3 linked regions of the Callithrix jacchus genome follow. The protein of the gene in region 3 purifies or fractionates together with the protein of the main gene of each other region. This does not show direct contact. Links are inferred from orthologs where the notes say so. Each region holds a gene or a part of one and is shown on either strand. Other genes may lie near its edges.

Evidence for each region.
Region 1: the proteins of CLTA (region 3) and CLTCL1 purify together in Homo sapiens (co-immunoprecipitation; 3 studies listed by BioGRID and IntAct, with this or other methods). This does not show direct contact. The link is inferred for Callithrix jacchus from reciprocal best matches to the Homo sapiens genes CLTA and CLTCL1.
Region 2: the proteins of CLTA (region 3) and CLTC purify together in Homo sapiens (co-immunoprecipitation; 6 studies listed by BioGRID and IntAct, with this or other methods). This does not show direct contact. The link is inferred for Callithrix jacchus from reciprocal best matches to the Homo sapiens genes CLTA and CLTC.

Annotation. Positions count from the first base shown.
Region 1 is NC_133502.1:210,864,360-210,867,859, forward strand, and holds part of CLTCL1 (clathrin heavy chain 2), read right to left. Parts: coding exon 3,405-3,500; intron 3,069-3,404; coding exon 2,834-3,068; intron 1,489-2,833; coding exon 1,366-1,488; intron 1-1,365. UniProt on the Homo sapiens protein: Clathrin is the major protein of the polyhedral coat of coated pits and vesicles. Two different adapter protein complexes link the clathrin lattice either to the plasma membrane or to the trans-Golgi network.
Region 2 is NC_133506.1:94,269,249-94,272,748, forward strand, and holds the end of CLTC (clathrin heavy chain 1), read left to right. Parts: intron 1-2,265; coding exon 2,266-2,390; 3' UTR 2,391-3,300; downstream 3,301-3,500. UniProt on the Homo sapiens protein: Clathrin is the major protein of the polyhedral coat of coated pits and vesicles. Two different adapter protein complexes link the clathrin lattice either to the plasma membrane or to the trans-Golgi network.
Region 3 is NC_133502.1:143,113,980-143,118,175, reverse strand, and holds the start of CLTA (clathrin light chain A), read right to left. Parts: upstream 2,801-4,196; 5' UTR 2,691-2,800; coding exon 2,474-2,690; intron 1-2,473. UniProt on the Homo sapiens protein: Clathrin is the major protein of the polyhedral coat of coated pits and vesicles.

The DNA.
Region 1 (3,500 bases), about 68 Mb from region 3:
ACAAAAATTTATTTAAAAAAATAGTGGCACAGACTTGAGGAAACACTGGTCAGAAAACCAGAAGATAAAACTCATAGAGATAAAGGTCAAATCCAGCCCTTAAGCTGAAAGCATGGTCCAGCAGGTTGGCACTATGGATGAGGGAGGTAGGAGTTTTAACTGGTCCTATGCTCAGGGCTGAAGCCACTTGTTGGGTGAGGGTTTTGTTCCAACAATTGTCTTGGCCCACCCTTAAACAGTATGCCCAGCACCTAGGGACAGTGCTGAGGCACTATCTGCGTATGTCTGTGAGGCTGTGATGGGAGGGTAGGCTCTTCCACAGGGCTGTGGGAGCCTGTCCAGAGGCTGAGGCAGACTTCCACCTGCCCTGGCCCCACTACTCTGCCCTGTGTCCAGGGAGGTGCTGGACAGTCACAGGGGCATAAAGAGTTAGTCAGCAAGAAAGCTACTTAACCTCTGTCCACAGAGGCTGAGCTGGAGAAACAATCAAGGACCCAGCATGCAGGCGTGCCACCAGGTACTCTCTTCCCGGGGCTGCACATCCTGCTTTGGATTCAAGGGCAATTCTATGCCCTTGGCCAGTAAGTGACTCCAAGTCAGCTGACCCTGGGGAATCAGGCTATTTTTAGGCAAGCTACTTCTGCAGGGGAGAAGGTTCATAAGGGCTAAGATGTTATTTTTTATTTTTTAGAGTCAGAGTGTCGCTCAGTTACCCAGGCTGGAGTGTGGTGGTATGCAATCTCAGCTTACTGCAACCTCCACCTCCTGGGTTTAACCAGATTCTTCTGCCTCTGCCTCCTGAGTTACTGGGATTACAGGCGTGGTGGCACACGCTAATTTTTGTATTTTTAGTTGAGATGGGGTTTCACGATGTTGGCCAGGCTGGTCTTGAACTCCTGACCTCAAGTGATCCACCTGCCTTGGCCTCTCAAAGTGCGAAGATTACAGGTATGTCACCACACTTGGACTATTTATTTTTTTGAGATGGAGTCTCTCTCTGTCGCTGAGGCTGGAGTGCAGTGGCATGATGTTGGCTCACTGCAACCTCTGCCTCCCAGGTTCAAAAAAATTCTCCCACCTCAGCCTCCTGAGTAGCTGAGATTACAGGCGTGTGCCACCACACCTGGGTAATTTTTGTATTTTTAGTAGAGATGGTGTTTCACCATGTTGGCCAGGCTGGTCTCAAATTCCTGAGACTTCAAGTGATCTACCCGCCTTGACCTCCCAGATTTCTAGAATTACAGGCATGAGCCACTGCACCTAGCCAAGATGTTTTAAATGAAAAATGAAACCAGTCACTTGAGCCACAACAATGACTAGACGGCAAAATGCAGGTGCACACACATAGCCATTTCTGTGCCTCACCTGGTCAATCAGCTGTCTCCTGGATGGATTGGTCTCCTCAAGGATGTGAGCCCAGAGCTCTGGATCCTTTCTGCGTACCAGGTAGCGGGCCTCGCTTTTGAACAGAGAATTCTCATTGCAAACCTGAAATGAGCACACTCGTGTGTAACACAGCAGTTAACCAATGGAAGCTGCTTGGGAGGACACACCCCAATTTGTTCCCTGTGTGCCTGATACTGGCTTGGTGGGCAGTCGGGCCCAGGCAAGACGCTGTGCTTTGACACAGGATGAGCAGCATCCTGCAGGGTTACAATGCACTCAAACTACCTCAAAATGCCCTTTCCAAGTTTACAACAACTCCCAGGGGTGTGACACATCTCTGGTCAGTTGAACCACCTGCAATCAGGGACATGCTCTGTCTCCCACTCTGTGTGATATAGCGACTGCTTGCCACGGGAGGCTACTGAGCGTTTGAAATGTGGTGTGTGACAGAAACTAAATTGGTAATTTTTAATTTACTTCAATTTAAGTACTCATATGTAGCTAGCTCTAAACCATCTCCAAAATGTTATCAGAACAGTCTAGAACTGGTATAAAACAGCGCAGACACTGCAACATTTCAAGCCTTGCAGTGTCTGGAGACCCTTTTCTGAATGTTATAACAAATCTCCAAAACAGCAAGAGTCCACTGGAATGTTCTAGCATGAGCAGCACTTGCTAAATCTTAGGGAGGATGGGATCTGTTGAGTGCCAGATGCCAGGCACAAGGCTGCGGCTTGCACATGTGTCTGTGGATGCAGCACAGGCTGCCTGTGTTTCACGGCAAAGGCCCAAGCAGGCTGGTGTGGCATCAACCTCACAGGTGCCCTGTTCATGTCTGGATTTTTAGATCAAATGGTTAGGTAGGAAAAGCTCATACAATTTAACCTAAACATGTAATTACAAACATGTGGATCCAAGCCTGGGCAGACACAGGCAAAGGACCTGGGCAGATGTTTCGAGGAGGGGCCAGCAAGAGCTCATTGGTCAGGGGATGGGGAAGGGCTTGTGTAGAGGACTACCCCAAAAGGGGGGCATGAAGCACAAGGGCACTTGAGATGGGAAGCACCCAAGGAACTGCAGGCCCCTCGGGTAGGGTGGCAAGAGGAGGGGCTGATCAAGCTGGGGAGTCGGGAGAAGGTGGCATTCCACAGAGGAGCTCATGAGTCAGCCAGGGAGTTCTATGTTGCCCTCAAATTACCAGGCAACACTAAGGACTGTCAGTAGAGGGGTGATGAGTCAGGTTCAGGGCCAACTGGTCTACAGGTATGATGCATACAAATTGTATGAGCAAGTCCCCAAAAGCTGTGAGAATCACAAGGAAATACATCTTATGACCCGCCATCTCCAGGTGCACAGAAAGCCCTGATCTACTCCCCACAGGGACAGCTTTGAAAGGTTCCCTGGGAGGCCAGGGCTAAACAGGCAGCCCAGCACATCTGCTACCCACCTTGATGAGCTCAAGGTCACACTGCCCCCGCTCATAGGCGACACAGGCCAGATGGGGGTCTCGCTTCTCACAGTAGCGACCCACCACGCTGCTGTCATAATAGGCGTTCTCTCTCAGGAAGCACTCAGGGCTGTTGTTGCTGTCGATGTAGATTTTAGCCAGTGCATTGTGAGTGGCAGGCTCCTCACAGCCTTCCTGAATCCGGGACTCCAGCCAGGGAAGCAGGAGCTTGAGCCTTTGAAAGAAGGAAGCTGCTGTAAAGTCTTGAGGTTACCACTGGAAATCTTGAGAGCAACTCCAGGGCTCTGACAGTTGTTTCCTGAAACAAAAAGTCTCTGAGTCCATTAACTTCAGGTTGCTCTAGGGACCAAGATGGACGTGGTTTCCAAACTGATTTCTACTGTTAGGTTTTCCCCCAAGGTCTTCACAGTGCCAAGAGCAAGTAACTCATTGCTACATCTAAGATGTGTACAGGAATGACCAACTGTGGAGACAGTCCTGGAGAATTAGAAAGAAACAACAACAGATACTAGAATCCAGAAGCAAGAGAAAACAAGTAAGGACACCTTACCTATTTCTTTTTTCTACTTCAGCCACCAACTCATCAGTAGAGAACTGTCCTGTCACTGCCATGATTAAGTGTTTAATCACTTCCTCAGAACAATCC
Region 2 (3,500 bases), on a different chromosome or scaffold from region 3:
AAGAAATAACTCCTTTCTACTGTCTTATTTTTTTCTGAGAACAGTTGTAAAGCAGGTGTGTTGATGTTATTTACTAAAATAATCTTAAATACAAGAAAACTCAAAAAACAGTCATTTAAGATTGTAACATGAATCTTTCCTGTCATCTGGTCCCTCATTCGTTACCTGCTCATAAATCACTGAAAAAGAAATATTGATGAATTCTATTTTCAAAAGAGCAAAAGGTAACAGAAGATCCCAAGGTTGTCTTTAGTATGCTTTACATAAAGAATACATCCTCATTTTAAATTCTAACTGGGCCAGAGAGCTGGGTAGAATTTCCACTTGAGAACTTTCCAGAGAGATAGGATCTTCAGATTCTCAAGTGAACATTTAAGATAATTTCATGTCTTAAACCTGTATGTCTGAATTACTGCCCCTTTCCATTATAGAGCTGGTGAACAGATTCTTGAACAGTCACTTTCAACAGTATAGACAGAAGCACAATAACCACGTGAGGGAACATAAAAATATGACCATTATATCTCAGGCTACTGACACAAATAATAATATAGATATTTATTATGGTTTTATCTCCTTTTTACTGTACTCAAAAGGTGCCTTAGGAATTTAGAGGACAGGATAGTTTTGATAAAAGTAAAGTGGGTTCTTAGAGATGGGAGCAAGATGTTTGACATGTTATTTAAGATAGGAAACAATTCAAATCCTTACAGGCGAAAGAGATAGGCAACACAGTAGGAACAAGAAATGGTGGGTGTAATACATGGGGGTTAACTGCTGAATTTGGCTTGCCTTCAGGGTATTTTCATGGGTAGTTAAAAATTGGGTTGGAATTTCAAGTAGATGTCAGTATCAAGATTAGGGATGACTTTTTAAAAACTGGTTTCCAAAAATAATTTGTTTGCTACAGACAGCTTTGGTTGTTATCCACAAAAAGGAAAGACGTGAAGTCCCTTGTGTTAGGAGAAATCTTGATCTAGGTTTTTACACTGTAGTAGGAGGTTAAGAATACTTACTTTGTAGGGGTAGAGAGAGATATTACTTGTTTTTTGCTCTCTAAGCCAGGTCCTCTACAGGTCATGTTTTCTGCATATGGTCAACAACTATTTAAACTTCTTAAGAAAGAAAGAAAGAGTGTCAACATATTATTCGATAGAGGGTGTATGTTCTAATGTATTTCATACCTAAAGAATATCTGAATGTGCTCCCCCCTACCCCTGGAGTCACCCAAGCTGGAGGGCAGTGGTGCAATCTCAGCTCCTGCAACCTCCGTCTCCCAGGTTCAAGCGATTCTTCTGCTTCAGCCTCCTGAGTAGCTGGGATTACAGGCCCATGCCACCATGCCTGGTCATGGGGGTTTTTTTTTTTTTGTATTTTTTAGTTAGAGACAGGGTTTCACCACATTGGCCAGGCTGGTCCGCCCTCCTTGGCCTCCCAGAGTGATGGATTACAGGTGTGAGCCACTGCGCCCATCCTGAATGTGTCTTATTTTTAATTGCTGTCTCTAAATTAGTACTGAAACTTCTAGAAATAATTTGTTTCATTGCCATTTAGACATGTTAAAATCAAAAATCTAACTCTAAAAGTTCAGTTTTGTTAAAAACGTCAGATAAGCCAAGCATGGTGGCTCATGCCTATAATCCTAGCACTTTGGGAGGCCAAGGTGGGCTGATAATTAGGCCAGGAGTTTGAGACCAGCCTGGCCAATGTGGCAAAAAACCCATTTCTATTAAAAATACAAAAATTAGCTGGGCATAGTGGTGCATACCTGTAATCCCAGCTACTTGAGAGGCTGAGGCACGAGAATTGCTTGAACCCAGGCGGCAGAGGTTGCAGTGAGTTGAGACTGCACCACTACACTCCATCCTGGGCAAGAGGGAAAGATTCTGTCTTTAAAAGAAAAAAAAATTCATTTAATAAACTTAAGTTTTCTTGTGCTGATTTTATTGTGTCATGAAATATAATGTGCATGTTAGGTATGTGTCAAGCATAGAGCATCAGGCATGTTGTGTTCAGGCATAAGTAGTTCTGGCCTTTGGCCCTGCGCTGTTTATTGGCCTTTTAGGTAGGAACTTTGAGTAAGCCTGTCATGCCAAAATTGTGACAATTTGTCACAATGCCAAATGTGACCCCCATACAACTCATCTGAATTCGAGGTTGAGATTATGTTGCTAGAGTGAAGGAGATTGCAGTGTTTTAAATGCTAACAATTTGTCCTGCCTCCTTGCCCCTGCCCTCTGCTCTGTTTGTTTTCTTCTACTTTAGGTCAGCCCCAGTTGATGCTGACAGCAGGACCCAGTGTTGCCGTCCCTCCCCAGGCACCTTTTGGTTATGGTTATACTGCACCACCGTATGGACAGCCACAGCCTGGCTTCGGGTACAGCATGTGAGATGAAAAGCTGATCCTGTAGCCACCTATTTTCGTACTGAAACATCGTCTCTACCCACTTCTGTTTATAATGGGGGAAACAGGCAACGTGTTCTTGTAACCTTTATTTCATGAAGGACTCCTTTTTTGTTTCTAACTATAAACTTTGGATCACCTATGTTAAAACCTTATTTCACATTCCACATCATTTTAGAATTTATTTTCGGAGGGGAATAGTTTCAATGTTTTATTCACTTGGGGTTTTTTTCTTCCCCCTCATTCTTTAAAAGAACTGCTTAATATTCAGTCTGTTGTGAAGAACCCGATTTGCACTCTGTAGTGTTTAAAGAAACAAAGAAACTCTAATATTGAATCTCTTAAATTTAGTGTATGTAAACAGCTTACAAATATGTATTGTCTAAATGCATTTAAATCTGTTTTATTCAGAGAAAAGCTAAAGCAAAAATACTGGCAAGACTGTCAGTGCCAACAAAGACAACACTAATCAATCAGCATATCCTACATTGGATTGCAGTGCTCTCCAGATAATTTGAAAAATGTTACAGACAACTTGCCTGATTTTTAAATGAGCATAAAAGGCCCTCTAACCTATGCAGGTTTCCCCATTATGCATATAGAAAATGCTAGTATGTTTTGCTCACTTCATATGTAACAGGTGCCCTTATGTTGTGCTGTATCCTGTGCTTTTTCTGTGGGACCATTCCATTCAGGAGCAAAGAGCACCATGATTCCAATCTTGTGTGTGTTTACTAACCCTTCCCTGAGGTTTCTGTATGTTGGATATTGTGGTGTTTTAGATCACTGAGTGTACAGAAGAGAGAAATTCAAACAAAATATTGCTGTTCTTCAGTTTTGTTTGTGGAATTTGAAATTACTCAAATTTAAAATAAATTACTGGACTGTGGAAATAACATAGAATTGAAGTTTTAATTACCACTCAAACCAAAAGAATAGTAGTTTTTATAGTTTTAGATTGGATACTAAGGCATTACAGGGAAGCATGAAAGGAAGAGGAATGAGAAGACATTGTGAATTCTATCAATGTGCATTCCTGTAGTTCATTAATAAGGTATATGCAATAGTCTAAAGAACCAGTCACTACTATAGTGGG
Region 3 (4,196 bases):
AAGCTCAGACCTAACCCCTCTGGTTTTTGCCTGTGCCCATCCTCCGTGGGAGTTTTCCACAAGGCTAGGGCTGGTTTATTTTCCTTTCATCAATCTGTTACAGGCGACTGTCTATTTATCTCTGTATAACATCAGAAAGACAGCTCCCACCTAAAACCTCTAAATTTCTTCAGTACACTTCAAAGCCTAAATGCCTTGTACCTTTCTCTCACTAACAGTAGCTGGAATTCACTGGATTCTTACTATATAACTGTAAGCACTTTATAGACACTTTTTAATGTAATCCTAAAGATGTCACATAGCATTATAAATTGTATTATGCAACTTTTACAAAGGAGAAAACTGAGGCCAGACTGGTGGCAGTTACATGCATTTTCTGAAATCACAAAGCGAAACTCACACTCAAGCAGCTTAGGATAGCATAGAATCTTAACCACTAGACCATATCTTCAAAAAAAAAAGGGAAAAAGAAAACTAAGAGAGAAAAAGTGTCCAATTCTGTAATCCCCAAAGGAAATGCTGACCATTGCACATTACCAACCTCAATTACACTGTCAGGAATCTGGCTTTAAGTCAACAAATGCTTAGTTCACTGAGAAAGTCCCTCCTAGGAGCTAAGTCAGCAACCATTTCTTTCCTTCCTTTTGCTGAAGCCTAGATACACAAAGGACCTAAGTATCCAAATCTGTTCTCTCCCTTTTACTTTTCCTAACTGCCCGTCACCAAGATCTGTCAGTTCTACATAGGACCATTGGATCTGACATTTCTGCCCATTTCTTTGTCAAACGTGAGCATCTACTACATGCCAGACACACTGCTAGGTAGTGGGGATCAAACAGTAAGAGTAACACTGTCCTTGAATCAGGACAATCTTCCAACTATAGATCTCGGGTCCTGCTTCTTCGAAATCTGTTCTACGTGGGACAGCCACAAATGCCTCTTATCACACCACACCCCTGCTGAAACAACTAAACACTGCAACTGAACGTGGTACATTCTAAGAGTGGGTAGACTTGGGGCTCAGCTATTAACTCGTGATTTTTTAAGCAAGTCACTTCTCTCTAGGATTCAGTTTCTCTTGTACTAAATGAGGAAGGTGCACAGAGGATCTAAGAAGTCAACTTTAAAATTCCCAGACAAATGTTAAAGACCACCCAATGAAAAAATATCTCCTAATCTAATCACTTAAGGCCAACTTCCTCTTGCAATCACAGCCCAGTTCAGCTCAACTACTTGCTATAAGTTGCATATTCAGGCATATTACATATTCCCCTTAAGTTCTTATTGGGGGACTGATTTACTTAGGAAGCAACACGGTGCCGTCAAAAACTCAGAGACTGCAAACTAGCAGCACCCCCCCCCCCCCACATCCCTCAAAAGTTTCTGCTTGGCTGGCATAGTAACTTGAGACTGCTGGGTCTAAATGCCTTTTCTCCAACACTTCTACTGTCTCATGTCAAGCCAGCTTCTCTCGTGTCTGTTACCCACCTAGCCCCTTAAGGTTTGAATTTGGGGTAGTATGGACACTACTCCTAAGTGCCCCAGTAGTGCCCTATTCTCCCTTAGTTGGAATTTTTTAAGTGGATGAAAAGCCATATCTCATTTCTTCTGGCTAAATTTCCTACTTCTCTGTAATTAAATAGGTCTTTTCCACTCATGATCCTAAGCATCACACACAGGTAAGGCATCCAAAGGTCAAACTGTCATCCTACCTGCCCGTTTTTACTTGCGTTTGGCTGAGAACATTCTCTATTCACCTCTTCATCCATCCCTGATTGGTTTAGGCTAATCTTGGGTTCTGCTTGGACAATAAATACTACCTACCAAAGCTGTTCCCAGAGGAAGAGCTCCAGAAGTCCTGGGTGTAAATCAATCGCTCAACGATAGTAAACTCCTTCCCCGCTTGGCAGTTCTTTCTTTCTCCAGACCCAGACCATCTTTCCTGAGTTCCCTACTCAATGCTCGCTTCTCGTAATCCAAAATTATGTTCACCTGAAGAGCTTGAATGTTGAACTGCAACGCTACTTTTTTTGCATCTCTCAAAAACGGTATTTCCATTCTTATTTTTTTTCTGCCCTGTTTTTCTAATAACTGGAGTTCCGTGCTCGGCTCAGACTTGTTTAAAGTCCGGACAAACTGCGCCAATGCGGTTGATTTAGAGACCGGACTAAAGGCACAGCAAGTGCTTAATGAAAAGTTGCTGAAATGAACGGGCTTCTTCCGGCTCCGGCATCTGCCACTCTATACTTGCTTTCTCGCTCCACCCGCGCCCAGAAGCACTCACAACTGAGAACCGAACAGGCTTCTCCAGCCTAGGTTTCTGCATGACTGGGCCAGGGTCTCATTTCCTCTTTGCACTGCTGCGTAACCTCCTAATTCAGTAAGGAACACGGGTCACACAGAAGCTCTCGGGCCCACTTTGGGCCGAGTTTCCAGACAAGTCTTCTCGCCCCAAACGCGCCCGCATTCTTACCCGGACCTCCCGGCGGCTCGCCGTGCGGCTGGGGCCCGGGGGCGCCGCCGTCCAGGATGGCGAAGGCCTCGTCGTTCTCGATGCCCGCAATCTCGCTCTCCTGCTGCGCCAAGAAGGCCGCGGCCGGGTCTTCCTCGCCGGCGCCGGCCACTCCGTTCCCCAGCGCGGGACCGCCAGGGGCGCCGGCAGGGGCGCCGAACGGATCCAGCTCAGTCATGGCGGGCAATTCAACGGAACGGACACCAACGGTGAGAGACAACCAACCAACCCACCGACACCACGCCCGGCAGCCACCGCTGTGGTGGCGACTGGCTGAGGAGGACAAGCGGGAGGAGGGAGAAGGGGGAAGCGGAAGCCCTACCCGTGTATCCGGTCGGTCTAGGCAGTGTTGGAGAGCCGAAAAGAGAACAACCAATCAGAGGACAGTAATTGTTCAGAAGCTACCCAATCAGCAAGTGGAGGGGCGGGCCCCCGAAGAAAACTCGTGACTTGGGTAGCGCGGGAGGTGAGCGAGGTGAGCCGCGCGGGCCCCCAGGAGGCGGAAGTGCAGCCTGAGGGGGCAATACTTCCCGGCCTGCGGAAGCTGGACTGACCCGAGACTGCCACCCCGGAGGGGACCCTAGTGCTGCACGGGGAGGTGAGGTGAAGTTAGGGCGACGACGATTGGCCGATTACTGAAGAGGCATGCCACTTAGGCTTTCTGAACCTCAGTTTCCTCATTTGTAAAACGGGGACAAGAATCTTGCTCTTGCCCCCCCTCCCGGGATTATTAGAAGATTGAAAACTTAAAAAAAAAAAATTAATCCTATTTGAATTTGCCTTGGCTTTCTGGGAAAAAAAATTTTTTTTTTGAAATATTTAACGGTCAACCAGCCTAGATTATTTGCTCCCTTGGAGCCCATAGATTTACTGTAATTGATTCATTCCACTCCCAATTTTTCTCCCCATAAGTATTTTTATTAAAACTGAATATGTCTTATCTTCTTTGACGAAGCACTTTTGCAGCCATTACGTCTTTTCAGAGCTAGACAGAAATTACTAACCTGGAAAATTCCTTAAGGATCACTTGCTTCAAAGGGAAACACAGTGGCCCTGCTGTTCGAGGGGCATCAGTCACCCAGGGAGTCAGTGACCAAGAGGAAACACCTGTCTCCTGGGGATTTCCAAGGTACTAGGACAATAAGAAAAAGAAAGTTCAGTGTTTTTTTTTTAATCACGGACATGTTAATAGCTACATGGCTAATTTTGTCTACACCGTAGGCATAACAGTGATTTCAGTTAATCATGCTCATGTTGAGGAGTGCTTATGAACAGGCCGCCAGAAGGACCCTTCTCCTTCACCACTGCCAACACCCTAAAAAGTGAAAAGCCAAAAAAAGAAAGAAACCAAAAAACCAACCAGAGGTCAACAAGAAGCTTCCAGAGGTAGTCAGCAGGGCAGAAAAAAATGTTTTTTAAAAAACAAAAACAAAAAAAACCACGTATCTTTGATGACAAAAACAGGGAGGGAAGGATAGTTATTATGAAGGAAAAATGAAGCAAATAAAAAAAGGATATGTATTTATTTAAAGCATAATTTACTTTTAAAGTTATTTAAAGTCTGAACCATAGGAAAGTATGGAAGAAAAACATTTAAGAAAGTTAAAATGTTAGGGTCTGCATTTGATTCTGTTTCCCCCTCTCTGTTCTTGTTTTTTTGGGGGGGGATTTTTTTCTTTGCTTG